2 linked regions of the Anolis sagrei genome follow. The protein of the gene in region 2 purifies or fractionates together with the protein of the main gene of each other region. This does not show direct contact. Links are inferred from orthologs where the notes say so. Each region holds a gene or a part of one and is shown on either strand. Other genes may lie near its edges. The genes, in order: IFI30 and DAPK1.

What was found.
Region 1: the proteins of DAPK1 (region 2) and IFI30 purify together in Homo sapiens (affinity purification with mass spectrometry; 3 studies listed by BioGRID and IntAct, counting the BioPlex papers as one, with this or other methods). This does not show direct contact. The link is inferred for Anolis sagrei from reciprocal best matches to the Homo sapiens genes DAPK1 and IFI30.

The regions. Positions count from the first base shown.
Region 1 is NC_090034.1:59,101,716-59,118,019, reverse strand, and holds the start of IFI30 (gamma-interferon-inducible lysosomal thiol reductase), read right to left. Parts: upstream 5,957-16,304; 5' UTR 5,910-5,956; coding exon 5,775-5,909; intron 1-5,774. UniProt on the Homo sapiens protein: Lysosomal thiol reductase that can reduce protein disulfide bonds. May facilitate the complete unfolding of proteins destined for lysosomal degradation. Plays an important role in antigen processing.
Region 2 is NC_090022.1:230,172,111-230,187,621, reverse strand, and holds the start of DAPK1 (death-associated protein kinase 1), read right to left. Parts: upstream 7,518-15,511; 5' UTR 7,389-7,517; intron 7,256-7,388; exon of another isoform or gene 6,772-7,255; intron 5,479-6,771; 5' UTR 5,377-5,478; coding exon 5,315-5,376; intron 1-5,314. UniProt on the Homo sapiens protein: Calcium/calmodulin-dependent serine/threonine kinase involved in multiple cellular signaling pathways that trigger cell survival, apoptosis, and autophagy.

The sequences.
Region 1 (16,304 bases), on a different chromosome or scaffold from region 2:
TAATATAATCTTGAAGAAGGTAATCTGCTAAATATTTGTACCAGGTTTTTGTATCCCATTTCTTGTGGTCTTTCCAACATTAAAGCCTCAGGGCCACTGAGGCTTTAATTCCCTCTATCATATGTTTTATTATTTCCTCACTTTCCTTATATTCCTCTTTATTTTCGAATTTCTGAGTGAAAAATTTGGCCTTATTCCATTCTATCTTGATCCCTAATAGCTCCTCCATTTCTTTCCTGATTATTTCTTGGAACTTTTGGATTTTTTCACATTCCCACCACATGTGGGCATATGTTCCTATTTTACCACAGTTGTGCCAACATAATTTTGGGCACGTTTTTGTGATATGCGCCAGTTGCACAGGAGTTCTGTACCATTTTGTCAATATTTTTCGTTGCATCTGATGGCCATTCTTGTGTTTTCCATATTTGCTGGCATATGGCACGCATCACCTTGACAGCATCCTCTTCCAAGATCTTAAACAGTTCAGCTGGGATTCCGTCGTCTCCTGCTGCCTTGTTGTTAGCAATGCTTCTTAAGGCCCATCCAACCTCAGGATGTCTGGTTCTAATTCATTCACCACACTGTCAAAACTATCCTCGATATTGTTATCCTTCCTATACAGATCTTCTGTATAGTCTCGCCACCTTCTCTTGATCTCTTCAGCTTCTGTTAGGTCCCTGCCATCTTTGTTTCTTATCATACCAATTTTTGCCTGAAATTTACCTCCAATGTTTCTAATTTTCTGGAAGAGGTCTCTTGTCCTTCCTATTCTGTTGTCTTCTTCCACTTCCATGCATTGCTTGTTTAAAAATAGTTCTTTATCTCTTCTGGCTAACCTCTGGAACAGCGCATTTAATTGGGCATATCTCCCCTTATCAATGTTTCCTTTTGCTTTCCTCCTTTCTTGGGCTACTTCCAGTGTCTCAGCAGACAACCATTTTGCCTTCTTGCATACATTATATGCATACATTAACATTAAAAACATTTGACTCAACATTAAAATATACTATATACTACTCCCATTGCATTAACTACTACACCCTAACTAGAGTGGCTTCACTCTTGTGCAGGTGGTCAGGTCAAAGGTATTAACTCTGCTATCACTTAGACAATGCCAGGTAATTTCCAAATCCTGGCAGAATGTGCTGCCTGGGAGTCATATGTCTCCTTCTCTGGGGGTTTTGAAGCGTAAGGTGCATGGTCATCTGTTGGGAGGGCTCAGGTTGTGTTTTCCTGCTTGGCAAGGGGTTAGATGTGGATGGCCCTTGCGGTGTCTTTCTTCCAACTCTAGGATTCAGTTCCGAAATGGAAACCCCTCTGTTTGGCCCCAAAGTGAGCTGAACTACCCTTCTTCTATAGGGCACAGCATCTGCAGAACTGTGAGTCAGAAGGCAACTTGATCATTCTTTATTTTTAACCCGGCTTCCTTCTTCAAAAAGCGAAGTGAAAGAAAGAAGCCTTTTCTGGGCAATTAGGACAGTACCTTCCTTGCAATTCTGCAGAAATGCTGGGGAATTCCAAAGAAGGGTTTTTTCCCCTGCCATCATCGCAATAGTAATAATAATAATAATAATAATAATAATAGTAATAATTTAATAAAATAAAATAATAATCATTAAATTATTTAAAGATTGAACTGCAAAGACTCTGGCACAAACCAGTCAAGGTGGTCCCAGTGGTGATCGGCACACTGGGTGCAGTGCCTAAAGACCTTGGCCTGCACTTAAACACAATCGGCGCTGACCAAATTACCATCTGTCAGCTGCAGAAGGCCACCTTACTGGGATCTGCATGCATTATTTGCCGATACATCACACAGTCCTAGACACTTGGGAAGTGTCCGACGTGTGATCCTCTACAACAGCCAGCAGGGTGCCTGCTGTGGACTCATCTCCTGGTGTTAATAATAACAATAACAATAACAAGGTGGTCCCAGTGGTGATCGGCACACTGGGTGTAGTGCCTAAAGACCTTGGCCTGTACTTAAACACAATCGGCGCTGACGAAATTACCATCCGTCAGCTGCAAAAGACCACCCTACTGGGATCTGCACGCATTATTCGCTGATACATCACATAGTCCTAGACACTTGGGAAGTGTCCAACGTGTGATCCAATACAACAACCAGCACAGTGATCTTGTTTGCTGTGTACTGTTCTTGTTGTGTTCCACATAATAATGTAATAACAATAAATAGAATAGGAAGAGATCAGATCCCCAAGGGCCATCTAGTCCAACCCCCTTCTGCCCTCATGCAGGAAAAGCACAATCAAAGCCCTCCCAACAGATGGCCATCCAGTCTCAATAACAATAATAATAATAATAATAATAATAATGTTGGAAAAGATTCCCAAAGGCCATCCAACCCAACCCAGTCTGTCTGTCCGTCCGTGGCCATGGACTATGATTTCGGATAATGTGATTTTAAATAGTGTTTTAGAGTTTGATATGTTGGTTTTTAATGATCATTTTAAAATAGATGTTTATTTTACTATATATATATGTTTACATGCCATTGAATCATTGCCTATACATGTAAGCCACCTTGACTTCTCTACAGAGTTGAGAAGGGCAGGATATAAATAGGGTAAATAAATGAAATAAAAGAAATGTATGCCTCTATCTATCTTAAGGGATTGGATGACCCTAGGGGGTCTTTTCCTCTATCTATCTGTCTGTCCGTCCGTCCATCCGTCCGTCCAACACTACAACTAACTAACTAACTAACTAACTGTCGGTCGATCCGTCCATATATCCACCAATACATGTCTCTCTTTCTCTATCTCTCTACCTATCTACCTACCTATCCATCCACCTATGTATATATGTATCTATGTAACTACCTACCTACCTACGTATCCATCTACCTGCCTTTCTACCTGTCTGTCGGTTTATCTACCTGTTTCTTTATCTACCCACCTACGTACCTACCTATCTGTCTATCTATCTACCTACTTATCTATCTACTTATCTTTCTACCTGTTTGTCTATTATTTATTTATAATTATAGAAATTATAAATATATATAAATAATTATAATTATATACATAAATATTCATCTACCTACCTGTCTGTCTTTCTATCTACCTGCCTACTTATCTGTCTATATCTACCTATCTACGTACCTACCTATCTACTGTCTGTTTATCTATCTATCTATCTATCTACCTATCTGTCTACCTACCTACCTACCTATCTGTCTATATATCTTTCTACCTACCTACCTGTCTATATCTACCTACCTACATACCTACCTGTCTGTCTATCTATCTATCTACCTACTTACCTACTTATCTATCTATCTACTTGTATATCTGCCTATCTACGTACCTACCTAGCTACTGTCTGTTTATCTATCTATCTATCTATCTACCTACTTACCTATCTACTTATCTATCTACCTACCTACCTGTCTATCTATCTACCTACCTGTCTATATCTACTTACCTACATACCTACCTATCTACCTGTCTGTCTATCTATCTATCTATCTATCTACCTACCTACTTACCTATCTATCTACTTGTATATCTACCTACCTACATACCTACCTGTCTGTCTGTCTATCTATCTATCTATCTACCTACCTACTTACCTACTTATTTATCTATCTACTTGTATATCTGCCTATCTATGTACCTACCTATCTACTGTCTGTTTATCTATCTGTCTATCTATCTACTTACCTATCTACTTATCTATCTATCTACCTATCTACCTACCTATCTACCTGTCTATATCTACCTACCTACATACCTATCTATCTATCTATCTATCTATCTATCTACCTACCTACTTACCTATCTATCTACTTGTATATCTGCCTACCTACATACCTACCTATCTACCTACCTATTGGTCTGTCTCTGTATCTATCTACCCACTTACCTATCTACTTATCTGTCTGTCTACCCACCTACCTATCTACCTGTCTATCTACCTGTCTGTCTGTCTACCTACCGGTCTATTGGCCTGTCTATCTGCCTATCTGCCTATCTGCCTATCTATCTATCTATCTATCTATCTATCTATCTATCTGTCTGTCTGCCTGCCTGCCTACTTACTTACTTACCTACCTACCTATCTACCTATCTACCCATCCATCTATCTACATTTCTGTCTTTCTCTATTTATCTATCCACGTGTGTCTTTCTTTATCTAATTATCTATCTATCTATTCATCCATCCATCCATTCGTCAATACATGTTTATCTAAAGCAGTGGTTCTTAACCTGTTTATCCCCAGGTGTTTTGGCCTACAACTCCCAGAAATCTCAGCCAGTTTACCAGCTGTTAGGATTTCTGGGGGTTGAAGGCCAAAACATCTGGGCACCCACAGGTTGAGAAACACTGGTCTAAAGGGATGGGACTGGGTGGCCTTTGGGGGTCCTTTCCAACTCTAAGATTCCATCTCTCTGTGCCCCCATGCTGTGGCCCACATGGGGGTTCTGTGTGGGAGGTTTGGCCCAATTCTATCATTGGTAGGGTTCAGAATGCTCTATGATTGTAGGTGAACTATAAATCACAGCAACTACAACTCCCAAATGTCAAGATTCTATTTTCCCCAAACTCCACCAGTGTTCACATTTGGGCATATTGAGTATTTGTGTAGAGTTTGGTCCAGGTTCATCATTGTTTGAGTCCATAGTGATCTCTGGATGTAGGTGAACTACAACTCCAAAACCAAAGGACACTGCCCAACAAACCCTTCCAATATTTTCTGTTGGTCATGGGAGAACTGTGTACCAAGTTTGGTTCAATTCCATCGTTGGTGGGGTTCAGAATGCTCTTTAGAATCATAGAATCAAAGAGTTGGAAGAGACCTCATGGGCCATCCAGTCCAACCCCATTCTGCCAAGAAGCAGGAATATTGCATTCAAATCACCCCTGACAGATGGCCATCCAGCCTCTGTTTAAAAGCTTCCAAAGAAGGAGCCTCCACCACACTCCGGGGCAGAGAGTTCCACTGCTGAACGGCTCTCACAGTCAGGAAGTTCTTCCTCATGTTCAGATGGAATCTCCTCTCTTGTAGTTTGAAGCCATTGTTCCGCGTCCTAGTCTCCAAGGAAGCAGAAAACAAGCTTGCTCCCTCCTCCCTGTGGCTTCCTCTCACATATTTATACATGGCTATCATATCTCCTCTCAGCCTTCTCTTCTTCAGGCTAAACATGCCCAGCTCCTTAAGCCGCTCCTCATAGGGCTTGTTCTCCAGACCTTTTATCATTTTAGTCGCTCTCCTCTGGACACATTCCAGCTTGTCAATATCTCTCTTGAATTGTGGTGCCCAGAACTGGACACAATATTCCAGGTGTGGTCTAACCAAAACATTTTGATTTTACCAAAGATTTTGATTTAAAATCTTTGATTGTAGGTGAACTATAAATCCCATCAACTACAACTCCCAAATGACAGAATCAATTTTTTTGAGTGAAGGACATACATTGGGTTGTTAGGTGTCTTGTGTCCAAATTTGGTGTCAATTCATCCAGTGGTTTTTGAGTTCTGTTAATCCCACAAACGAACATTACATTTTTATGTATATAGATTATTATTATTATTGAGGCTGGATGGCCACCTGTTGGGAGTGCTTTGATTGGGCTCTTCCTGCATAATGCCAGAAGGGGTTGGACTGGAGAGGTCCCTTCCAGTTGGAGGATTCTCTCTCTGTCTCTAGACTGGAGGACTCCCCACCTTCTGGGTGCCTCTCTCCTCCTGCCTTCGGGGGTGGGACTGGCTGGCCTTGGGAGGTCCCTTCCCAGGTTCCCACTCACCTGGCAGGTGCGGGCGGTCTCCCCGTGGTGGCACCAGAGGGGCGGGGCTTGGGGGCAAGGAGGGCCCCCCAACACAGCGCCCCCCAAAAGGGACACACTGGCCGACAACACCCAGAACAGCCTCGCCAGAGCCATGAGCTCGTCCTTCTGGCCAGGGAAGAAGCCCAGGAGGGAGGTTGGGAGGGAGGAGGCTCCTTTGGGGAAGGGGGGCCGGGTTGGCTCCTCCCTCTTTCTCCCTCAGCAAGCTGTTCTCTCTCTGGTCCGCCTCCGGGAGGAGGAGGAGGAGAAGGAGGAAGCAGCCCTTCTTCCCTTTGCCCTCCCCAGCAAGGTTGGGCTAGATGACCTTCAGGGGTCCCTTCTCGCCAGCCAACTTCTTCTCCTTCCTTTCTTTTCTTTCTGTCCTTCCTTTCCCTTCCTTCCTTCCTTCTTTTACTTTCTTTCTTTCCTTCCGTTTCCTTCATTCCTTCCTCCCTTTTCCCTTCATGCCTTCATTCTTTCTTTTTCCTTAGTTCCTCCCTCCCTTTTCTTTCTTTCTTTCTTTCTTTCTTTCTTTCTTTCTTTCCTTTTCCTTCATTCCTTCCTTTCCTTCCATCTTTTTTCCTTAGTTCCTTCCTTCCTTTTCTTTCTTTCTTTCCTTCCTTTTCCTTCATTCCTTCCTTTCCTTTCTTCTTTCTTTTTTCCTTAGTTCCTTCCTCCTTTTTCTTTCTTTCTTTCCTTTCTTTTCCTTCCTTCCTTCCTTTCCCTCCTTCTTTCTTTTTTCCTTAGTTCCTTCCTACCTTTTCTTTCTTTCTTTCCTTCCTTTTCCTTCATTCCTTCCTTTCCTTCCTTCTTTCTTTTTCCTTAGTTCCTTTTCTTTCTTTCCTTCCTTTTCCTTCATTCCTTCCTTTCCCTCCTTCTTTCTTATTCTTTAGTTCCTTCCTCCCTTTTCTTTCCTTCATTCCTTCCTTTCCTTCCTTCCTTCTTTCTTTTTCATTAGTTCCTTCCTCCCTTTTTCTTTTCTTTTCTTTCTTTCCTTCCTTTCCCTTCATTCCTTCCTTTCTTTCCTTCTTTCTTTTTCCTTAGTTCCTTCCTCCCTTTTCTTTCTTTCTTTCTTTCTTTCTTTTTCCTTAGTTCCTTCCTTTTCTTTCTTTCTTTCCTTCCTTTTACTTCATTCCTTTCTTTCCTTCCTTCTTTCTTTTTCCTTAGTTCCTTCCTTTTCTTTCTTTCTTTCTTTCCTTCCTTTTCCTTCATTCCTTCCTTTCCTTTCTTCTTTTTTCTTAGTTCCTCCCTCCCTTTTCTTTCTTTCCTTCCTTTTCCTTCAGTCCTTCCTTTCCTTCCTTCTTTCTTTTTCCTTAGCTCCTCCCTCCCTTTTCTTTCTTTCTTTCTTTCCTTCCTTCCTTTTCCTTCATTCCTTCATTTCCTTTCTTCTTTTTCCTTAGTTCCTTCCTCCCCTTTTCTTTTCTTTCTTTCCTTCCTTTTCCTTCATTCCTTTCTCTCTCTTTCTTTCTTTCCTTCTTTTTACTTAATCTCTTCTTTGTTTCACTTTCTTTCCTTGCTGCCTTTTCCTTAATTCCTTCCTTCCTTTTCTTTCTTTCCTTCTTTTTCTTTCTTTCCTTTTTCTTAATTCTTTTCTTTCCTTCCTTCCTTCTTTTTCTTTAATTCCTTCCTTCTTTTATTTCTTTCCTTCTTTTCTTCCCTTCCTTCTCTTTCTTTCCTTCTTTTTCCTTAATTCCTTCCTTCTTTTACTTTCTCTTTCCTCCCTTTCCCTTAATCCCCTCCTCCCTTTTCTTTGTTTCCTTTTCCTTCCTCCCCCTCTCCCTTCCTTTTCTTTCTTCCCTCCCCTCATTCCCTCCTTCCTTCTTCTCCCTTCCTTTTCTTTCTTTCCTTCCTTCCTTCCTTCCCTTCCTCCTTCTTTCTTTTTCCTCCCTACCTTCCTTTTCTTCTTTCTTTTTTTCTTTCTTTTCTTCCCTTCCTTCTCCTCCCTCCCTTTTCTTCCTCCTCCTTCCTTTGATTTGACCTGAAAAGGCCGCCTCCTTTTCTCCTTCTCATTCACACTAGATGTGTTCTGTCACTTTTGTGTGTCTTCCGTTGCTGCCTTTAAGACCCCTTCACCAGCCTTAGGAACACACAGAATAATAATAATAATAATAATAATAATAATAATAATAATAATAATTTTTGTGTCATGAGCTACTTGAGAAACTGCAAGTTGCTTCTGGTGTGAGAGAATTGACTGTCTGCAAGGATGTTTCCCAGGGGACGTTGCCTGGACGTTTTTCATGTTGTGTGGGAGGCTTTTCTCATGTCCTTGCATGGGGTGCTGGAGCTGACAGAGGGAGCTCCTCCACGCTCTCTCTGGATTCGAACCTCCAACCTCCCAGTCTTTTTAAAAAATATATTTTTTATTATTTTATCAATTATTACATTTATTATACATTTGTTTATAGTAGTTACATATTATTCAACACCCTCGTTAACATATAATCTTATTCTTCTGTTCCAACCTCTCAGTCTTCAGTCCTGCCAGCACAAGGGTTTAATCCATTGTGCCACTGGGGGCTCCTAATAATAATAATAATAGTAGTAATAATAATAACAATAATAATAATAATAATAGCAGAGAAACAACTGGAAAAACTGACACGATATGAGGATTTTAAAATTGAACTGCAAAGACTCTGGCACAAACCAGTCAAGGTGGTCCCAGTGGTGATCGGCACACTGGGTGCAGTGCCTAAAGACCTTGGCCTGCACTTAAACACAATCGGCGCTGACAAAATTACCATCTGCCAGCTGCAGAAGGCCACCTTACTGGGATCTGCACGCATTATTTGCTAATACATCACACAGTCCTAGACACTTGGGAAGTGTCCGACGTGTGATCCAATTCAACAGTCGGCAGAGTGTCTGCTGTGGACTCATCTTGTTGTGTTTCAAATAATAATAATAATACTACAAGGATTTAAAGATCGAAGTGCAAAGACTCTGGCACAAGCCAGTCAAGGTGGCCCCAATGGTGATCGGCACACTGGGTGCAGTGCCTCAAGACCTTGGCCTGCACTTAAAAACCATTGGTGCTGACAAAATCACCACCTGTCAGCTGCAAAAGGCCACCCTACTCGAATCTGCATACATTTTTTGCCGATATATCACATGGTCCTAGACACTTGGGAAATGTCCGATGTGTGATCAAATACAAAAACCAGCAGGGTGAGCTTGTTTGCTGTGTACTAATATTGTCATGTATCAAATAACAATAATGTTTATTTCTATCCTTTCCCCTCTCACTGAAGGGACTGGATGGCCTTTGGGGATCTCTTCCAACTCTAGATTATCATCATCATGATGCAGAGACTGGATGGCCATCTATCGGGTGCTTTGATTGTGCTTTTCATGCTTGGCAGAAAGAAGGGGGTTGGACTGGATGGCCTTTAGAGGTCTTTTCCAACTCTATGATTCTGTAGGTGTCTTTAAGAGGGAGGTTGGTTCCGTCCATAGAGTTATAGTTCACCTGATGGCAGGTGAACTATAACTCCAAGTAATTGCAACTCCCAAATATCAGGATCTGTTTTCCCTAACCTCCACCAGTGTTCAAATTTAGGCATTTTGAGTATTTCATGCCAAGTTTGATCCAGTTCCATAGTTGTTGGGTTTCTCAGATCTCTCCAGATGTAGGTGAACTACATCTCCCCTAAATCCCTGCCAATTTCTCCCAAACCCCTCCAGTATTTTCTGTTGGTCATGTGGGTTCTCTGTGCCAAGTTTCATCCAGTTCTGTAATTTGTGGGGGTCTCAGTGGTCTGTGGAGTCAGAGCTGAATCGGTTGAAGGTACATTCAAAGTTAACATTGACACGGAAATTCAACACCGCCTGAGCTCTGCGAGTGCAGCATTTTTCCGAATGAAGCAGAGTGTTTGAGGACCGGGACATCCGTAGGGAGACCAAGGTGCTTGTCTACAAAGCTATTGTCCTCCCAACCCTGCTCTATGCCTGCGAAACGTGGACTGTCTACAGACGTCACATGCAACTCCTGGAACGATTCCATCAGCGCTGCCTCCGGAAAATCTTGCAAATCTCCTAGGAAGACAAGCAGACAAATGTCAGCGTGCTGGAAGAAGGAAAGACCACCAGCATTGAAGCGATGGTCCTCCGCCATCAACTCAGCTGGACCGGCCACGTTGTCCGGATGCCCGACCACCGTCTCCCAAAGCAGTTGCTCTACTCCGAACTCAAGAACAGAAAACGTAATGTTGGTGGACAGGAAAAGAGATTGAAAGATGGGCTCAAAGCCAACCTTAAAAACTTTGGCATAGACACTGAGAACTGGGAAGCCCTTGAATGCTCCAGCTGGAGGTCAGCTGTGACCAGCAGTGCTGTAGAATTTGAAGAGGCACGAATGGAGGACGAAAGAGAGAAACGTGCCAAGAGGAAGGCGCGTCAAGCTTTAGAAAGCTTGGGGGTCATGGCTTTAGAAAGGTTGAGAACCACTGACTTAGGCGATCCCTCATTGTCAGATAGGATTGTCTTCCAAGATCGGTGTACTGGCGGTGGGTCCGTAGGCAACTGTGGAGCCCTATTCTTGACCCACATCTTCCACAGTGAAGACATTGGTTTCGAGGTGGAAGGCAGTCCCAGTAAGGGTTGACTTCACGTGCCTTCCTCTTGGCATGTTTATCCCTTTTGTCCCCCATTCGTGCCTCTTCAAATTCCACAGCACTGCTGGTCACAGCTGACCTCAAGAGTCAGGGCTTCCCAGTTCTCGCTGTCTATGTCACAGTTTTTAAGGCTGGCTTTAAGTCCATCTTTAAATCTCTTTTCCTGTCCCCCAACATGACGTTTTCCATTCTGGAGTTGGGAGTATAACAACTGCTTCGGGAGGCAGTGATCTGTGGGCATTCGTACAATGTGGCCGTCAGTCCAGTGGAGTTGATGGCATAGGAGCACCGCTCCAATGCTGGTGGTCTTTGCTTCTTCCAGAACGCTGACCTTTGTCCGCCGGTATTTTCCCCCCAAGAGATTTGCAGAGGCAACGCTGATGGAATCGTTCCAGGAGTTGCATGTGACGTCTGTAGACAGTCCACGTTTCGCAGGCATATAACAGGGTTGGGAGGACAATGGCTTTATCAACAAGTACCTTGGTCTCCCTACCGATGTCCCGATTTTTAAACACTCTCTGCTTCATTTGGAAAAATGCTGCACTTGCAGAGCTCAGGCAATGTTGTATTTCAGTTCACTTACAATCAAAGAGCGTTCTGAACCCCACCAATAATGGAATTGAACCAAACTTGGCACACAGTTCTCCCATGACCAACAGAAAATACTGGAAGGGTTTGGTGGGCAGTGTCCTTTGGTTTTGGAGTTGTAGTTCACCCACATCTAAAAATGACTGTGGACTCAAACAATGATGGATCTGGACCAAATTTGGCACGAATACTCAATATGCCAATATGTGAACACTGGTGGAGTTTGGGGAAAATGGACCTTGACATTTGGGAGTTGTAGTTGCTGGGATTTATAGTTCACCTACAATCACAGAGCATTCTGAACCTCACCAATGATAGAATTGGGCCAAACCTCCCACCCAGAACACCCATGTGGGCCACAGCAACGCATGGCAGGGGACAGCTAGTAATAATAATAATAATAATAATAATAATAATAATAATAATAATGGGTTTTCTTGATGTCCAGTGAGAGACCAAGCTTTTTGTATGTCTGCAAAGGCGTTTAGAGCGGCTTGTCGGCTTTCAGAGTTCCAAATTCCATTCCATTAGTCATTTCCTGGCCATTCTCAAAGTCCTTTCTTTATCTGCACGATTGTCCGAATGCCTGGTCCCAAATCCATGTTTTCAGTTTTTTCCTGAAGGAAAGGAGTAATTGGGTTGTTATAGGTTTTTCCGGGCTATATGGCCATGTTCTGGAGGCAATTTTTCTCCTGACGTTTCGCCTGCATCTATGGCAAGAATCCTCAGAGGTAGTGACGTCTGTTGGAAGTAGCTCACTACCTCTGCGAATGCTTGCCATAGATGCAGGCGAAACGTCAGGAGAAAAATTGCCTCCAGAACATGGCCATATAGCCCGGAAAAACCTACAACAACCCAGTGATTCCGGCCATGAAAGCCTTCGACAATACGAAAGGAGTGATGTCGCTGATCTAATTTCCCCGGAGAGCGAATTCCACAGGTGGGGGGCCACCACCGAGAAGGCCCTGCTCCTCGTCCCCGCCAACCTCACTTGTGATAGAGGCGGGGTCAAGAGCAGGGCCTCCCCAGAAGATCTTAGACGTAAAGGGAGATCCGTTCGGACAGATACACTGGGCTGGAGCCGTATAGGGTTTTGTAGGTCAAAACCAGCACTTTGAATTGTGCTCAGAACTGGATCGGCAGCCAGTGGAGCTGACATAACGGGGGTGGTATGCTCCCTGTATGACACTCCGGTGAGCAGTCTGGCTGCCTCCCGCTGGACTAGTTGGAGTTTCCGAACAGTCTTCAAAGGCAACCCCACGTAGAGCGCGTTGCAGTAATCTAATCTGATCTTCTTCTGAATGCGCACAGACTACATTATCATCAGCATACTGAAGTTCTATAACAGGTGTTTGTTGTGACCTTGGTTTTGGCTTCATTTGTAACCTTAACCCTAACCTACAATTCTCTGGGCAGGAGTGGTAATTCTTGGTTCCTTAAAAGTCTCAGATTATAATGCAATCTCTGCTGGGCCCTCTTCACCATCACAATGGCAAGTCTTCCTAAGCAATGTAGCACCCAGGGACTTAAAACTGGCCTCACGCTCCACTCGATCTCCATTTGTAACCAAAAAGTTGAATTTCTGATCTGTTCTGCATGATGGGGTTTATAAGGGGGTTTTGGAAAAGAACATCCTCATTCGGGTTGCGATCTGAACTCATATCCCAGCTCTACCAGAAACCAGGTAGGGTGCCTGCCCTTCACTGTGAAGGCTCTCTTGGGCTGTTACTCCCTACCAATGCATGTCGGAGTGCCCTGATCCATGTCAAAGGCCCCAATCCACCTCCAACCCTTGAAGCTCATGGCTCCAAACCCTTACCTTGGCCCTTGGCTATGGAAACTTGCCCAATGCCTCTTGCGCAAAGGGACCGCAAAGCGCCCACAAACCCGCAGGACGGGTTCTCCCTGACTTTGGGCAAGCCCAGCCTTGGAAAAAATTATTCTTCCCAGAACCTCTCTATCTAAACAGATGCCAAGGCCAGCCTTTGCATATTACTAATACTAATGCTAATAATAATCTATATAAATAAAAATGTAATGTTAGTTCGTGCTACCATCAGAACTCTAAAACCACTAGGGGAATTGACACCAAATTTGGACACAAGACACCTAACAGTCCAATTTATGTCCTCCACTCAAAAAAAATTGATTTTGTCATTTGGGAGTTGTAGTTGCTGGGATTTATAGTTCACCTGCAATCAAAGAGCATTCTCAACCCCACCAGTGATGGAATTGAACCAAACTTGGCACACAGAACTCCCATGATCAACAGAAAATACTGGAAGGGCTTGGTGTGCATTGACCTTGAGTTTGGGAGTTGTAGTTCACCTACATCCAGAGAGCACTGTGGACTCAAACTATGATGGATCTGGACCAAACTTGCCACAAATATTCCATATGCCCAAATATGAACACAGATGGAGTTTAAGGGAAATAGACCTTGACATTTGGGAGTTGTAGTTGCTGGGATTTATAGTACACCTACAATCAAAGAGCATTCTGAACTCCACCAATGATGGAATTGAACAAAACGTGGCACACAGAACTCCCATGACCAACAGAAAATACTGGAAGGGCTTGGTATGCATTGACCTTGAGTTTGGGAGTTGTAGTTCACTTACATCCAGAGAGTATTGTGGACTCAAACAATGGTGGAGCTGGACCAAACTTGGCACAAATATTCCATATGCCCAAATATGAACACAGATGGAGTTTGGGGGAAATAGACCTTGACATTTGGGATTTATAGTTCACCTACAATCACAGAGCATTCTGAACCCCACCAACGATAGAATTGGGCCAAACCTCCCACACAGAACCCCCATGTGGACCACAGCAACGCATGGCAGGGGACGGCTAGTAATAATAATAATAATAATAATAATAATAATAATAATAATATCGAGTTGGAAGGAACTCCCAAAAGACATCCAATCCAATCCCCTTCTACCAGGTGGGAAAAGCACAATCAAAGCACTCCAGACAGATGACCACCCAGCCTTTGCTTAATAATAATAATAGAAGAGTTGGAAGGGACCCCCAAAGGACATCCAGTCATAGAATCAAAGAAAAGAGTTGGAAGAGACCTCATGGGCCATCCAGTCCAACCCCATTCTGTCAAGAAGCAGGAATATTGCGTTCAAATCACCCCTGACAGATGGCCATCCAGCCTCTGTTTAAAAGCTTCCAAAGAAGGAGCCTCCACCACACTCCGGGGCAGGGAGTTCCACTGCTGAATGGCTCTCACAGTCAGGAAGTTCTTCCTCATGTACAGATGGAATCTCCTCTCTTGTAGTTTGACCCCTACCAGGTGGGAAAAGCACAATCAAAGCACTCCAAACAGATGAGTACCCAGGATTTGCTTAATAATAAAAGAATAGAGTTGGAAAGGACCCCCAAAGGACATCCAGTCTAGCCCTCTTCTACCAGGTGGGAAAAACATAATCAAAGCCCTCCAGACAGATGGGCATCCAGCCTTTGCTTAATAATAATAGAGTTGGAGGGGACGCCCAAAGGACATCCAGTCCAACCCTCTTCTGCCATCCTGCAAGAAAAGCACAATCAAAGCACCCCTGACAGATAGCCATCCAGTCTGCATAATAATAATATTGGAAGGATTTCTCGCTCATGGAAGAGGAAATCCCTATGGCTTCTTTTCAAAGAAGCACCTTGAAGTTGGGATGGTTTCTCTTGGAGTGAGAGCTTTTCCTGGAAATCATCAGCCCACTTCTTAACAACCCCGGGAGATTTGTGGTTGGTTGCACTCACTCGCTGCCACATTATTGTCACGTGAGTGGTGTGTCCTCAGGCAGACAGGTCCAAAGGGCAAGGCCAAGTGCTTGCAATGTCTGTTTTGTGGTTCTTGTTTGCGGCCCATGGTTTGCTCCATTGTGGACACAGCTGCGGCACCTCTCCCGCCAGCCAAACCCATGAAAATAGACTTTAGCCTTTTAGGGTCTCAATGTAGAGAGGAAAGTGGGATATAAATATTATTATTTGATACACAACAAGCTCATTCTGCTGGCTGTTGTGTCGGATCACATGTTGGACCCTTCCCAAGTGTCTAGGACTGTGTGATGTATTGGTGAATAATGCGTACAGATCCAAGTAGGGTGGCCTTTTGCAGCTGATAGATGGGAATTTTATCAGTGCTGTTTTTAAGTACAGGCCAAGGTCTTTAGGTACTGCACCCAGTGTACAGATCACCATTGGGACCACCTTGACTGGTTTGTGCCACAGTCTTGCAGTTCCATCTTTAATATAAGCTGTTATTATTATTTAATAATTTTTATTAAAGTATTTTCTCAATAACATAAAAAAGAGGAAATTTGTATGAAAAGGGGAGGTGCTGGAAGGTATAGAGAGGAAGGGATAAACGGCTATGGCAGCGGTTCTCAATCTGGGAGTCGCGACCCCTCGGGGGGTCGTTTGGCCATTTTCTGGGGGTCGCGAAGCTGCATTGGCTGGCCATGCCCCCTCCAAAATGGCGGCCGACCCCCTGAGCCACTGGCACTCCCGTGTGCGAAGCCATCCGCCTGTCCCTCATCTCCTTCTGATGGCAGAAGGAGGCGAGGGATGGGCGAGCGGCTCCGCGGCCTTGTGCCAGCCGCCCCTCTCCTGCTTCACTCTCCCTCCAGCAGGCAAGGGTGCGGAAGAGGCGAGGGCTCTTTGATTGTAGGTGAACTATAAATCCCAGCAACTGCATCTCCCAAATGTCAAGGTCTATTTTCCCCAAACTCCACCAGTGTCCACATTGGGGCATATTGAATACCTGTGCCAAGTGTGGTCCAGATCCATCATTGTTTGAGTCTGCAATGCCCTCTGGATGCAGGTGAACTACAACTCCCAAACTCAAGGTCAGTGCTCACCAAACCCTTCCAGTGTTTTTCGTTGGTTGTGGGAGTTCTGTGTGCCAAGTTTGGTCCAATTCCATCATTGATGGAGTTCAAAATGCTCTTTAATTATAGCTGAACTATAAATCCCAGCAACTACAACTCCCAAATGACATAATCAATTTTCCCTCCAACCCCATCAGTATTCAAATTTGGGCATATTGGGTAAAATAAGGTAAAAGTTTTCCCCTGACATTAAGTCCAGTCGTGTCCAACTCTGGGAGTTGGTGCTCAATTTCTAGGCCAAAGAGCCGGTGTTGTCCATAGACACCTCCAAGGTCATGTGACTGACATGACGGCATGGAGCGCTGTTGTGCCAAATTTGGTCCAGTGAATGAAAATACATCCTGCATTTCAGATTTTTACGTTATGATTCATAACAGTAACACAATTACAATTAGGAAGTAGTAATAATA
Region 2 (15,511 bases):
CTCCAAGATCATGTGGCTGGCATGACTCTATGGAACGCCGTTACCTTCCTGCTGGAACAGTACCTATAGTTCTAATCACATTTTAATGTTTTGAACTGCTAGGTTGGCAGAAGCTGGGGCTAACAATGGGAACTCACTCCATCCTGTGGATTCAAACTGCCAACCTTCTGGTCAGCAAGTTCTGCAACTTAGTGGTTTAACCTGCTGTGCCATCATGGCTTCTCTATAAATGACTACAATAGATAAATAAATGACTGAATAAAGTTAGGTCCCAAACTTCTGAGATCTTTTAGATTGCATTAAACTAGATGGGCAAGTTATCTGATGTAGCACAAGATACTCTTTAGACAGTTTCCTAAAATGGCACATACAGGTTGAGCATCCCTTATCTGAACTCCTTAGGACCAGCTCTGTTCCACACTGCAGAATGTTTAGATTTCGGAAATCTTGCATATACACAGTGAGGTATCTTGGAGATGGGGTCCACATCTAAACACAAAATTCCATTATGTCCCATACACACCTTATATACAGAGCCTGAAGGCAATTTTATACTCAGCATTTTATATAATCTTGTACATGAACAATCAGAATTCTAAAAATGCCCCTATTTCACTGTCTCGTGTGAACAATTTTGGGGTACAAAAGATATTCAACCTATATTATGAACCATGCAAATTAATATATACAGATTTCAACAGGATCTCACTAACTTGTTTGCTACATCACATTCCCCCCTGAATATAAGATTTCTGTTAACCATTAGTAATGTCTTTGGAGTAAACTCAAAAGGAAAAATCAGCAGCAATGTGCTAGGAGGAAGCATTATTTTGAAACAACAATTTTGCCATATAATAATAAATAATATAATGGTTGAACTGTTGCATTAGGTTCAAGTGCAACACCATAACCTGGTGAAGAACCATGAAAACTAAGGCCCCTTCCACACCGCCCCTATATCCGAGGATCTGATCCCAGATTATCTTCTTATCCCAGAATATCTGGAAGTGAGGACTCATATAAGTTTATATCAGATAATATGGGATCAGATCCCAGGATATAGGGCAGTGAAAGGGCCTGAGTGACCTTCAGCTATTTATTATCTCTCCGTATGATCTACATCACAGGGTTGTTTGTGGAGGATAAAATGGGAAAGAGAAAAGCCAGGTTTCATGTTCTGAGCTCATTCAAAAAGAAAAAAAACCCTGAGTGAATCTAGCATTCTGGATTCTTCTATTACTCAGAAGTATTTTGAAAGATTATTTCTTAAACATGTTTAACAAAACATCAGAATTAATTATGATCTGTGTTCTAAATTAGTATTTATTTCTATAACTCCAAGTGACAATGTCAAACCCTTAAGAATCAACACCGAAGTAATCTGCGCTGAAGAAATCAAACAGTTCTGTGGTATGACGGAATTATAATGTTTAGATTTAAATTGAATGATAGGAAATCTATCAGTTTGCCATAAAATTATAATATCCCCTCTAGAAAGAAATACAAAAGCAAGTCAAATGTTAAGTCATTATTCAGTTCTGGTTTTCTGCTTATGCTCTGAAGCTACAGATCTTCCTGTAGCTAAACTTCTTTCATAACAACAACAACAACAACAACATCTTTATTTATACCCCGCCACCATTAGTATAAATCACATATAAACAATAACATGCAAGGATTAAAAAACCTATGGCTGGGCCAAATGTAATAGTTTAAAATTTAAAAAAATAAACGCTAGGCATGAACAGAGATAGGATGTATCTGGTAAGAGGTTTTAAAAGAAATAAAGGGAGAGCAACCCAACGAGTAGTTAAAGTGCTTCACAGAATATTCTAACTAAACCATGCCCCCCCATACACACATTTATAAGTCTAGAAATTTTAGTCAAACAGTCAACCTCAAAAATCTTGATCCAAGTTGAATATTGTACGTTAACTCTTATCAAAAAAGGAACACAGAAATGCTGGACCACTCTAACAACCACCATATCAGACTACACAGAGAAGCCATTGAAATCCACAAGCATGTGGACAATGTCAACAGAGAGGAGGAAACCATGAAAATGAACAAAATCTGGCTACCAGTATTAAAAAAAAAACCCTCTAAAATCAGGACAATAAATAAAAAAGTAACACTCAAAAAAGGAGGCATTCCAGACAGGAAACAATCAGGGCCAACTAACATCTCTCAACAAAAAAAATTCCCCAGGCAGGAAGCAGGCAGGCTTTGAAGTTACCAGGCTATTCAATGCTAATCAAGGTGGCCAATTCCAACATTCACATTTGCCTCAAGCAGACAAAGAGTTCTTTCTCCCACACTGGATATTCCACAGATATATAAACCCCACTTGCCTAGTTTCCAACAGACCTCATAACCACTCAGGATGCCTGCCATAGATGTGGATGAAACATCAGGAGAGAATGCTTCTGAAACATGGTGATACAGCCTGGAAAACTCACAATAACCCAAAAAAGGAACTACCAAGAACTTCGTCCATCCCCAGAATAACTTAAAAGAAGCACTAGCCCCTACTCCTCTTCATTTTGGTGCTATTCTGGCCTTTTTAAATGTCTGATCAGGAAAATGGCAGCAATGGCCAGATGTGGCTGCTCCTCTGAAGTGGCATGGTTGCTTTCCCCCTCCACAGAATTATGAGCAACTTATCTATCTCCGATCCTGTCCTCATCTTATATATGAGGTTGACTTATCCATTGAGTATGTATGGTATATTCAGCTTAGAATACCTACAGAAAACACATTTTTCCCAAAGTAAGTTGACATTGCCATATTTTTATGAAACAACTTTCAAGATGTACAGATATCAAAAGTAAATTGAAAGGGAACATTACCGAAATCAGGCAGAAGCCATACCTACACAAAGAATGAGTCAATCTGAACCCAGTTTCAAATTTCCATTCATCCCACCTTAGTCAAACCACTAGGGATACATTAATGCTATTTTTTGCTTTCTGCATGTAAGTTTCACTGTTGAGTTCCAATTTTTGCTATGATTGGCCAGAATATCTCTATTGACAAAATACAGTTAATGCAAACACAAATTTCAATGTAGAAAAACACCTCAAACCATGATTCTAAAATCACTATCTGATTTTCTATTTAGAATTATTGTGAAAACAGGCAAAATGATAGAATATTGAGGAAAGCAATGCAGACTGTACAGAGATGCCAATGAAATCCACAAGAATGGGGACAATTTCAATAGAAAGGAGGAAAATATGAAAATGTATGGCTACCAGTATTAAAAAAATTAGAAAATCAGAACAGTAAACAAAGAACAACACTCAGAAAACAAGGTAATTTCAGGCAAGAAACAATCAGGGCCAGCTAACACCTCCCAACAAAGGATTCCCCAGGCAGGAAGCAGCTAAGCTTTGAAGCTGCAAGGCGATTCAATGCTAATCAAGGTTGCTAATTGCAACATTCACACTTGCCTCAAACAAACATGAGTTCTTTCTCCCACCCTTGACATTCCACAGAACTTACAACCTCTGAGGATGCCTGCCATAGATGTGGGCGAAGCATCAGGAGAGAATGCTTCTGGAACATGGCCATACAGTTTGAAAAACTCACAGCAACCTAGTGATTCCAGCTATGAAAGCCTTTGACAACACAATACGGATATATGCAGCAATCATTTATCTCAAATATCAAAAACCCTGAGTTTTAAAATACAGGAAACAAACACACTGCAGACTATGAAGCACGCACTTCATTTAGGAATTAAACAGAGATTGAAAAGCAAAAAGAAGCTATAATCACTAGTCAATGGTCTGGGTTTTCCATCACAAAGCTGTGGCACAGACACAGGATTCTGTAGTATTCAACTAACAAGCTTTATGAAGGCTGTGTTAAACCTACACTGCTTAATGACTATAAATCTCTTGATCTGACATTTGGCTGGACAGAATAATTGAACTCTGATACTTCTGAAAGAGTCTGATCTTCATTTGAGTGAAATATATATATCAGAAATGATCTTCATTCATAGAGAATTCTTTCTAGAATTCAATTGTTAGTTGAACAAATTATTAATCCTAAATTTGCAATCTCAACCTACACCAACAATTTGCTATTGCTGCTGTTAGAACTTAGTGCATAAATAAGAAACAACCACCCATGCAAACCACGCTTATAATAAGTTACTCACAGCATGAAACAGACAATAGGGTCAATTATAATGATCCCCAACACAATGCTTCGCAAGCCTTTAAAACACCAAACTGCATTAGGTTGTAATTACCTATCTATGGCAAATGAGAAAGGGACCTACCTAGAAATCACTTAACAGTAGTGGCAGTAATATTCAATACCCAACCATAATGAACATCAGATATAATATAGCACATATTACTTCTGGCCTAGACAATACAGAACATTCCTTGAACTTCTCTACATATGTACCTCATTGGAGCAGGCTAACAATAAAGACATTGTGTTGTCTGAAGGCTTTCATGGCTGGAATCACTGGTTTGCTGTGGTTTTCAAAGCTGTATGTCCATGTTCCAGAAGCATTCTCTCCAGACATTTCACCCACATCTATGGCAGGCATCCTTATAGGTTGTGAGGTGTGTTGCAAACTAGGCAAGTGGGGTTTATATATCTGTGGAAAGTCCAGGGTGGGAGAAAGAACTCTTGTCTGCTTGAGGCAAGTGTGAATGTTGCAACTGGCCACCTTGATTAGCATTCAAAGCCTGGCTGCTTCCTACCATGAATTCCAGACATGAATCAATCAGGGCCAGCTAACACCTCCCAACAAAGGATTCCCCCAGGCAGGAGGAGCCAGGCTTTGAAGATGCAAGGTCATTCAGTGCTAACAAATGTGGCCAATAACAAGAACAACTTTATTTTTGGATCCCTCCTCCATCTCCCCCTCACATATTTATACATGGTCCTCACCATGTCTCCTCTCAGCCTTCTCTTCTGCAGCCTAAACATGCCCAGTTCCTTAAGCCGTTCCTCATAGGGCTTGTTCTCCAGAACCTTGATCATTTTAGTCGCCCCCTTCTGGACTCATTCCATCTTAGAGTCAACATCTCCCTTCAATTGCAATGCCCAGAACTAGACACAGTGCGATTCCAGGTGTAATCTGACCAAGGCTGAATAGAGGGGTTGCATGACTTCCTTGGATCTAGACACTATAGATTGGTTTTTCATATCCATGGACCCCATATCCATGGAGTCCCGGAAACAACCTCAGTGGATACCAATGGCCCACCAATTTGTTATTTGTTTACCATCCCTAACAACATTGTCCTATAAAGACTGCACGCTTTCCTTCCGGCGAATCCCATACCTGCCAAGTTCCTCTCCAATATCATAGTGATCATCCAGGTTCTCTTGCCTGAAGACAGTCATGATAGCTGCCACTCCTCAGGATAGAAATACAATCCTCGGTCCTTGCTTTTCAACTCATCCTCACTGTGTTTTGGGAAGGATTTCCCAGCACTTCAGGCAGAGCTGCAAAAAGAAGAGACAGGCAGAAGGTGAATTTAAATGCCACTGTTTGCAAGAGGGGCGTGGTGGTGTCACTATGTCTAGCACACACACACACAGCCCAAACGTCAAAACAGACCCACAATGCCGGATGTTAATGGATTCCCTTTGAGGCTGAGTGGCAAATCAATGGGCTGCTAAACTTCACTCTAGGATAGTGTTTCTCAACCTGGGGGTCACAAGGGGGTGTCAGAGGGGTCACCAAAGACCATCAGAAAACACAGTATTTTCTGTTGGTCATGGCAGTTCTGTGTGGAAAATTTGGCTCAATTCTATTATTGGTGGGGTTCAGAATGCGCTTTGATTGTAGGTGAACTATAAATCCCAGCAATGACAACTCCCAAATGCCAAGGCCTTTTCCCCTCAAACTTCGCCAGAGTTCACATTTGGGAGTATTGTGTATTTGTGCCAAAATTGGTCCAGATCCATCATTGTGTAAGTCCACAGAGCTCTCGGGATATAGGTGAACTACAACTCCAAAACTCAAGGTCAATGCCCACCAAACCCTTCCAGGATTTTCTATTGCTCATGGGAGTTCTGTGTGCCAAGTTTGGTTCAATTCCATCATTGATGGAATTCAAAATGCTCTTTGATTGCAGGCAAACTATAAATCCCAGCAACTACAACTCCCAAATGACACCACCAAACCCTTCCAGTATTTTCTGTTGATCATGGGAGTTCTGCGTGCAAAGTTTGGTTCAATTCCATCGTTGGTGGAGTTCAAAATGCTTTTTGATTGTAGGTGAACTATAAAACCCAGCAACTACAACTCCCAAATGACGAAATCAATCCCCCACCCAAGCCCACCAGTATTCAAATTTGGGCGTATTGGGTATTTGTGCCAAATTTGGTCCAGTGAATGAAAATGCATCCTGCACATCAGATCTTTACATGACGATTCATAACAGTAGCAAAATGACAGTGATGAAGTAGCAACGAAAATAATGTTATGATTGGGATGTCACCACAACATGAGGAACATTATGAAGGGGTCGAGGCACTGAGAAGCACTGCTCTAGGACCAGGCTGCTCATTTGGGCGGCGTAAAAGGGAAAGGCTCTGTGTGTGTGTGTGTGTGTCCCCTCCTCAAAAGCCGGGCTCTGGATTGGAAAGCCCACCAGCTGGAAAGGGAGAAGGAGAAGGACTCGGGGCCTGTCCAAGACCAAGGGGAGGCGAAGAGGCCCTCCTGAACTCCAAGGGGAGCTCTCATTCTCTCATTCTCTCTCTCCCTTTCTCCTCCGCCGTGAATGGCCTCACCTTTCCCGGCGCCTCCATGGCTTCCCCCGTTTGCAGGAAGGCACATTCCTCCGCGGCTCCCCCTCCGTTTCCCGGCCAACTCGGACGTGCGACCAGGAGGAGCCGCCGCTGCTCCTCCCGCCCTTGCCACCCCGAGGAAAGCAGCGGGGAAAAGAACAAACCCGGCTCGCCTCTCGGCTCAAGGAACGGCGGCGAGAGAAAGAGCAGGCATCCTCGGCCAACCTGAGGCGTGCGTAAAAGGAGGACGGGGGGGGGGGGAGGCTCCTTCTTCCTCCCCCTTCGCCTTCGCAAGGCCCTCCCCTCCCCTCCCCTGGCGGAAAAGGGGGAGACTGGCGCCCGGCTAAGCCCCCCGAAAGAGGGGGAAGGGAGAGGAGCCCTCTTTCCCCCACCCAGCCCTTTGAAAGGCGGTGGTGCTGCAAGGGGCGGAGAGGGAGTCGCCGTGCACGCAGCCCCGCTTGGCCCTCCTTCCTCGCTTTGGGGCGGCCCCAGGAGCGGCAGGGGAGGGGAAGAAACCCGCCCCTTCTCTCCGCCCCCTTCCCTCTCCCTTCCTGCCTCCCTTCCAGGGACCGGAGCTCGCCCCAATCCCCACCGTTTCCCCTGTTTTGGTCGCCACTCACCGGCCTCCGCTCCCTCTCCAAGCGCCCTTTGCGCTCCAGAACTGAGCAATTGAGAAGAGGAGGAGGAGGAGGAAGAGGACCCCGGGCCCGCGGCCAATAGGGAAGCAGCCGCCTTCTCAGTCCTCCTCCTCCTCCTCCTCCTTCTTCCCCTGACCTGCCCACGACAGGAGGGGAGGAGGGAGGGGACAAGGCCAGAGTTGGGCTCGGTGCGCACGCATTCTCACGCCCCGCCGTGCCACAGGTTGGCTGGCACCGAGCGCCTTGCTCCCCTCCCACTGGCACCGGAGGAGAGGCGGCCAGGATGGATGCCTGCCGCCCTTCTCGGGTTGCCGTGACAGGCAGACCCCAGGGCTCCGGGGCTCTAGTGCCACGCAGCAAGGCCCCTCGAGGCGAGCCTTGCCTTGGCAGAAGAAGCAAAGTTGGTATGGCCGTGTTGGAAACAAGCTCTGGGGATGAAGACACTGCAGAATTGGGTCGCGGTCAGTTTTCCGGGCTGTCTGGACATGCTCCAGAAGCATTCTCTCCTGACGTTTCGCCCACATCTATGGCAGGCACCCTCAGAGGTTGTGAGATCTGTTGGAAACTAGGCGAGTGAGGTTTATTTATCCGCGGAATGTCCAGCGTGGGAGAAAGAACTCTTGTCTGCTTGAGGCAAGTGTGAATGTTGCAATTGGCCACCTTCATTAGCATTCAATAGACTTGCAGCTTCAAGGTCTGGTTGCTTCCTGCCTCGGTGCTTTCTCCAGGGTGGAAGAAAGAACTCTTTGTGTTGTTGTAGGTTTTTTCAGGCTATATGAGTGACCGCATCTATGAACTGCATCTATGAACCCACACGTTCACTTCGGTCATCTGGTGAGGCCCTGCTCATAATTCCGCCTACGTCACAAGCGCGGCTGGTGGGGACTCGAGACAGGGCCTTTTCTGTGGTGGCCCCCCGACTCTGGAACACCCTCCCAAAAGATCTTAGACAGGCCCCTACATTGGCAGTCTTTAGAAAGAACTTGAAGACCTGGCTGTTCCGATGTGCCTTTCCAGAATAGGAAATCTCCAATAACAAGTCCTCAAAGCACTTTTAGTAGAATTAAGATTATTGCACACCATACACTGCACTTGCCCTATAATCCTCGTACACCACCTGCCACATCAGCACTTTTAATCCTGTACCCATTACTCTGGCCCAGCCCAGTTTTTATTGTGTCTTGATATACTGTCTATTGCATTCGTTAATATTGCTTTAACTGTTTTTAATTTTGCTTTTGGTGTTATATTGTTTGTGTTGTGTTTTGTGGCCTTGGCCTTTGTAAGCCGCATCGAGTCCTTCGGGAGATGCTAGCGGGGTACAAATAAAGTTAATAATAATAATAATAATAATAATAATAATAATATGGCCATGTTCTAGAGGCATTTTCTCCTGACGTTTCGCCTGCATCTATGGCAAGCATCCTCAGAGGTAGTGAGGTCTGTTGGAACTAGGAAAAAGGGTTTATATATCTGTGGAATGACCAGGGTGGGACAAAGGACTCTTGTCTGTTGGAGCTAGGTGTGAATGTTTCAACTGACCACCTTGATTAGCATTTGATGGCCTGGCACTGCCTGGAGCAATCTTTTGTTGAAAGAACTCCTGTCTGCTTGAGGCAAGTGTGAATGCTGCAACTGGCCATCTTCATTAGCATTGAATGGCCTCTCAAATTCAAAGCCTGGCTGCTTCCTACCATGAATTCCAGACATGAATCAATCAGGGCCAGCTAACACCTCCCAACAAAGGATTCCCCCAGGCAGGAAGGAGCCAGGCTTTGAAGGTGCAAAGTCATTCAATGCTAACAAAGGTGGCCAATAACAACAACTTTATTTTTGTATCCCTCCTCCATCTCCCCGAAGGGACTCAGGGTGGCTTACATTCACACTTGCCTCAAGCAGACAAGAGTTCTTTCTCGCATCCTGATCATTCCACAGATATATAAACCCCATTTGCCTAGTTTCCAACAGATCTCACAACCTTTGAGGATGCCTGCCATAGATGTGGCCAAAACGTCAGGAGAGATTGCTTCTGGAATATGACCATACAGCCCAGAAAACTCACAGCAACTCAATAAAGGCATTAAATCCTACAGACTTTCTTTCCATGTCTCTTCTCTGCAAAAGCATCACTGGAATCTTTGCCAACCTATCTCCATTCTATACAGTTGCCTCTCTATATCCTCGCAAATGGCCTCGCAAATTCAAAGCCTGGCTGCTTACTACCTTTAATTCCAGACATGAATCAATCAAGGCCAGCTGACACCTCCTTACAGCTGAGGCGGAAGAGGAAAATGAAAGGCCCCAAGGTTGTTAGGAATGGTGGGTGTTGAAGTCCAAAACACTTGGAGGGCCCAAGTTTTCCCAAGCCTGGTATAGAGGTGCCCTGGACCATGCTTGAACCAGAATTGGGCTATTCCCTTTCTTGTTGGCCTTCAAATTGTTTCCATCCTAAAGTGATTATGGAAAACCTATCTCAGGGTTCTTGGGAATATTTGTTCAAATGGAGTTTGTCATTGCTTTCCTCTAAGGTTAAGATAGTGTGACATCTCTAAGTTCACACAGTGGGTTTCATCAACAAAACCAAGAGTGCAGTTACATTGGAATTCATGCAGTTTGTGATCACTTGAACTGCTATGACTCAAGTGTTCTGGAATCATGGAAGCTATAGTCTTATAAGGTATTTAGTTTTTCGCTGCCAAAGAGTGTTGGTGACGTCCCAAACTACACTCTCAGAATCAGTAATGTGTTGAGACATGGCAGTTCAAGTGATATCAAACTGCATTCGGTCGACAGTGGAGATGTACCCCTGGTCTCTAGGGTTGCAGTCCAATGCTGAAACCACTAACATTTCTGTATCATGTTTCTTGTTATACAACAAAATGCAATTATTGATACTCTCTGACTAGTAAGCAAGAGGCGCTTTGCCACATAGGAGCTGCCATATTAAGAGAAATATATCTTCCAATGACTTGGTTCTGCAACAGGTGTAACATGGATGTGTTTGTTGACTGTCAACTTGTGGCATGTCCTTGAGTTTTATAAGGTTTTCTAAGCCAAGGAATACTCAGATGTGCTTTATTTATTTATTTATTTATTTATGGTATTTGTAACCTGCATTTCTCAGCCTTACAGCGACTTACAGCCTTACAGCGACTCAAGGTGATTTACAAAATTGGCAGAATCTGATGCCGTATATTCATAAAAATACAGTTGAAAACATCCAACCTAATATTATAAAAAAAACTATATAAAACCATTAAAAACACATAATTACCAGTGTTATCCTATTAAAATCATTATCCAGCAGCATTGTCTAGCCATTCCGTGTTCATTCTTCATATTTCGTAATTATTTATTTTGCTACATTTCCAAACACTTGTTGGAAAAGCCAAGTTTTTACTCTTTTCCTGAAGGTCAGGAGGGATGGGGCTGATCTAATATCCCTAGGAAGGGAGTTCCACAGCCGAGGGGCCACCTCTGAGAAGGCCCTGCCTCTCGTCCCCTCCAGACACGCTTGCGATGCTATTATTTGCTTGTTTGTATTTTACTTTGCTTTATTGTATTTTCTGGGCTTGGCCTCATGTTAGCCGCCCCGATTCCCCATGGGAAGATGGTGGCGGGGTATAAATAAAGATTATTATTATTATTATATGTTCACTTGTAAATTTAGAAATTTTACTCAAAATATCAACCCAAAAAACAAGGGCTTATTTATCCATAGATCAATGGGAGTACTATATCTCCTTATCAACAAAAGGGCCATTTCCTTCTCTGAGTAAAGTGGTGAAAGGCAAGAGTTTAGTATGTCCCAGGAGAATCTAAAACAGTGTTTCTCAACCTTCCTATTGCCACAACCCCCTAATACAGTTCTTCATGTTGTGGTGACCCCCAACCATAAAATTATTTTTGTTACTACTTCCTAACTGTCATTTTGCTACTGTTATGAATTGTAATGTAAAGATCTGATATGTGTTTTCTGATGGTCTTTGGTGACCCCTCTGACACCCCTTGCAACCCCCCAGGGGTCCCAACTCCCAGGTTGAGAAACGATGATCTGACCAATCCTCTACTCTCTTTGTTGTGCTGTTTCTGGCTTATTAGAATAGCTCGGTTAGAAAACAACAGCAGCGGTGGCTGTTATATGACCCATGGGGATTTCCCACGGGTCATATAAAAATCCATAATTTTGGCCCCACAACCTGCTCTCTACTTTTATGTGTAGTCAACATATGCAATAAATGTTATTATCATTATTGTTATTTGTTTGTTTATTACCCACCTCTCCCCATAGATCCTTCTTAATACAGTACAACCCCAAACCTATATAACCTGTGCTTATATAGGTTCTGTAGATATGGGATTATGATGGAAGGGACGAATATTTGTTTTGATTTGCACACTTGCCCATCTCACAGCTCAATACATAACATGTTTTAAAAGCTTTTTTTAAAATCCAATTTAAATGTGGGTTTATTCCTAACCCCCTCAGAGTGACTTCTACTAACTCCTATAAAGCTTCTGAAATGTGCTCAGGTTCCAGCTTTCAAGAATCTCCAAGGAAACAGCTCTTACCCACATACTTTGACTTGCTGAACCAGCTCAAATGTTACGCTGATAGAACTGTGCCATAGGCTGATTTAGAACATCAATGGCTGGGATAAAGAATAATAAACTTTCTCCCAAGTTTGGAAAACATTTTGGTAAAAAAAAGAAACCCAGCACTTTGCATTTGTTCCTCAAAACAGACACTATGGCATGAAGCTGGTGATGATCAATCACTATTGGCAGGTAGGTTAACAATGAGGAAACTCCATTTTCTATCTTCATATTATAAGGGACTCATCAAGATAAAGAATATTAATCTGGTTTTAATGAATCCCCATACAGTGAAACCGATAAGTCTTGTAGCACCTTACAGTCCAATGATTCAGTTTGAGATATTTCGTGAATGGCAATGAGGTTCTTAAGGATAAGAATATAAGGAAATGGTGTACTTTTGAAACTTTTAGTCAAAGTGTGTGTGTGTGTGTTTTTTTTTATCTTAAGGAAAACAGTCCCACCATACTGAACCTGTTTCATATTGATGGTATTGAAATATAAATTGCCAAAACAAAGCAAAGATAACTGCCTAGAATTAAATGTAGCTTGCAGTACCAGCTGGCTTATATAACAAGCTGAAACTATTGGTATGACTCAGGAGTGAGGAAAGGAAACCAAACTGAAGCATTTTGGGAAACAGATATATTCCTAATTAAGCAGAAATGTTGCAACATTTGTTATATTTAATATTTTATTACCAAGATAAAAAAAATCAAATCAACTTTTTTTCTCTATTTGTTAACTGTCAAGTACATGGTACATTTTATATTATGATTTTACAATATTCCTAAATGTTTTTCCCCATCCAGATCTAACTTAGCATTTGTGTTTGAAACAGTATTACAGACTATACACAGCCCCAAGGGAACACACAACCCAGAGCCGACAAGATGCTTTTAACTTCGTTGTGAACTCTGTTCTCTCATCAGAAGAATATATCATCAAAGGTGAACAGAAGTTCAGAAATCACATGTGTTCATAGTGTTCTTTTACCAAAAGGAACCTCAGCAGTGTTCCATCTGCTCTATATTCTGATTTAACTGAACTAATTTGGGCAAGAAGGTTCCAGATATTGTATGGTGGCTGACAAAAAAGAGACATTTAGGGCTTTTATCGTTTTAAAAAATTGAATTCAAAAAAGAAAAAAATGAAAAGGAACAGAAACAATACCAGGAAAACAGTTTTAATAATATATTAAACTAAACTTACACCAACTAAGACAAACCTACACTTATAAACACATTCTACAGATATAACTACTAGAACTAATCTACAAGCCTCACACTCATTGTTTGTTGATTTTTACTTCTTATTTTCTGCTCCCTTTAGATAGCACTATATATACACACTTCTCCTTTTCATAACACTCCTCTAAATCAGAAAACCAATAATTAAAGTTTGTTCCCATCTTTGGTGTAAAAAATAACAAATAAACCTCAGCTTTTCTTAAAGTTAGTCAAAGATTTCTCCTTGATCAGCACTATCAGTTTGTCCATCTTAGCTAATTCAGAAATCTTCACAAATAGGACTTTTATCCATAATTAGTTTTTATCTCATGCTGCAGGATCACAGGATGTCTATGTCCCACACCACTGGAAACATTACACTGTTTAGCTGCTTTCGCAACACCTAACATCTGCTGGGAAGTAGTAGCCAGCAATGAAAGGACCAAGGCATTGACATCTTCGGGCCATCCTCTGTTCGGATATCAGACAGCATGCCAACCCCTTAAATCAAGAAACAGCTTCCTAAGATCTACAGAGATACTTGCAGGAACACCTCAGCATGCAAGAGACCAAAAGTGGCAGGCAAAAACCCAGCACCTCAATCAGTGGCTGAGACTGGATGAGAAACTCTCTCCTGGGCACACAGCAGAGTGGACAACTTGGAAGGTGCTAAACAGGCTGCACTCTGGCATCACAAGATGCAGAATGAACCTTAAGAAATGGGGCTATGGAGTGGAGCCCATGACATGTGAATGTGGAGAAGAGCAAACCATACATAAACCACCTATTACAATGCAATCTGAGCCCTGCCACAGGCACAATAAAGGACCTTCTCTTAGTGACACCAAGGGCACTCCAAGTGGCCAGCTTCTGGTCAAAGAATATTTAGTATAATGCCAAGTTGTTAAACGTTGTTTGTGTTTTTAAATGCATTTTAATTGTATCCTCAACTTACTTCTGACATGACAAATAAAAATAATTAAATCTTAAGCCAAACAATATGAGATACAGGCCTTTGATATTAGATGTTGCATCTGACTAATCAGAGGCCCTTCACCCAAATCACCCCTCCATGATCTGGCAGTGGGATGGAGGAGTAATTTGGGTGAAAGGCCTCTGGTTAGTCAGATGCAACACCAAGCTCCTAACCTCCAGCTTTCCTCCATCCCAGCAAAGAATGTAATGCATTGTTGAATGCTTTCATGGCCAGAATCACTAGGTTGTTGTAGGTTTTTCAGGCTGTATGGCCATATTCAAGAAGCATTCTCTCCTGACGTTTTGCCTGCATCTGTGGCAGGCATCCTCAGAGGTTGTAAGGCGAGGTTGTGGGCAAAACATCAGGAGAGAATGCTTCTCAAACATGGCCATACAGCCTGAAAAACCTACAACAACCCAAAGAATGTAATGTATATTGATAGAGGTCTGGGTTGCCTATTAGATGTAATAGGCTCTGGCAGTTTTACTTGTGACCTTGTTCTTCATCTCAGCCTTAATTGCCACCGGATCTGTGTTGTGTATTATGGAGATAAAGCTGGATAAAGTTGAAATAATTCAGTCTCTGATTACTACACCCAGAAACTTGCTCTGTTATTCATCCTGGGAGTTGGTTTTTCTATATAAACCAGACTTACTGACTGGTGATACTGGTACATGGAGATTCTGATGGTAGATCTATTCATTTGAGGTTCCTATGGTAGTTTGTTCTACACCTTTGAGGTTGTTATGGACAGTGCCCAGTTCATAATGGGTATTCAGGTAAGCTTCTGGAAATTCCAAGCTGGACATTACTAGAAAATTTTGTGTTGTGAAGGCCATGCAAAGGAAAAGGCCCAAGCCATTTAAAGGTTATGAAGGCAGTGAAACACACAGCCAATAAGCAACTTCAGTGCAAATACAGTATAAGGGACTGCCAGTCAATGTCTGTTAATGGGTGACCAATGCAGCCTTCACTACCTGAAGTTTCCATTCAGCTTTTAAAGGTAGTCTCTTGTGACATAGTTACAACAATGTAATCTGGAGGCCTCTGTAAATACGTAAGACAGTGGCGATGACTTTCTATTTCCAACAAAGATATTGCATTACACACAACAATGTTGTTATAAGAGAAAAGGTGAAAAAGTCCAGTGAATTCTCTGAAGAGACATTTTTGCATTTTCTTGGAAAAGATGTTTCTTGCTTAGACAACTAATTGCATAGCAGACTAGGGAGCATATACTCGCCCTTAAAGTAGAAGGAAGTGAGAGCAATAGTTACAAGATAACAGCAAATTCTCTTTCAAAA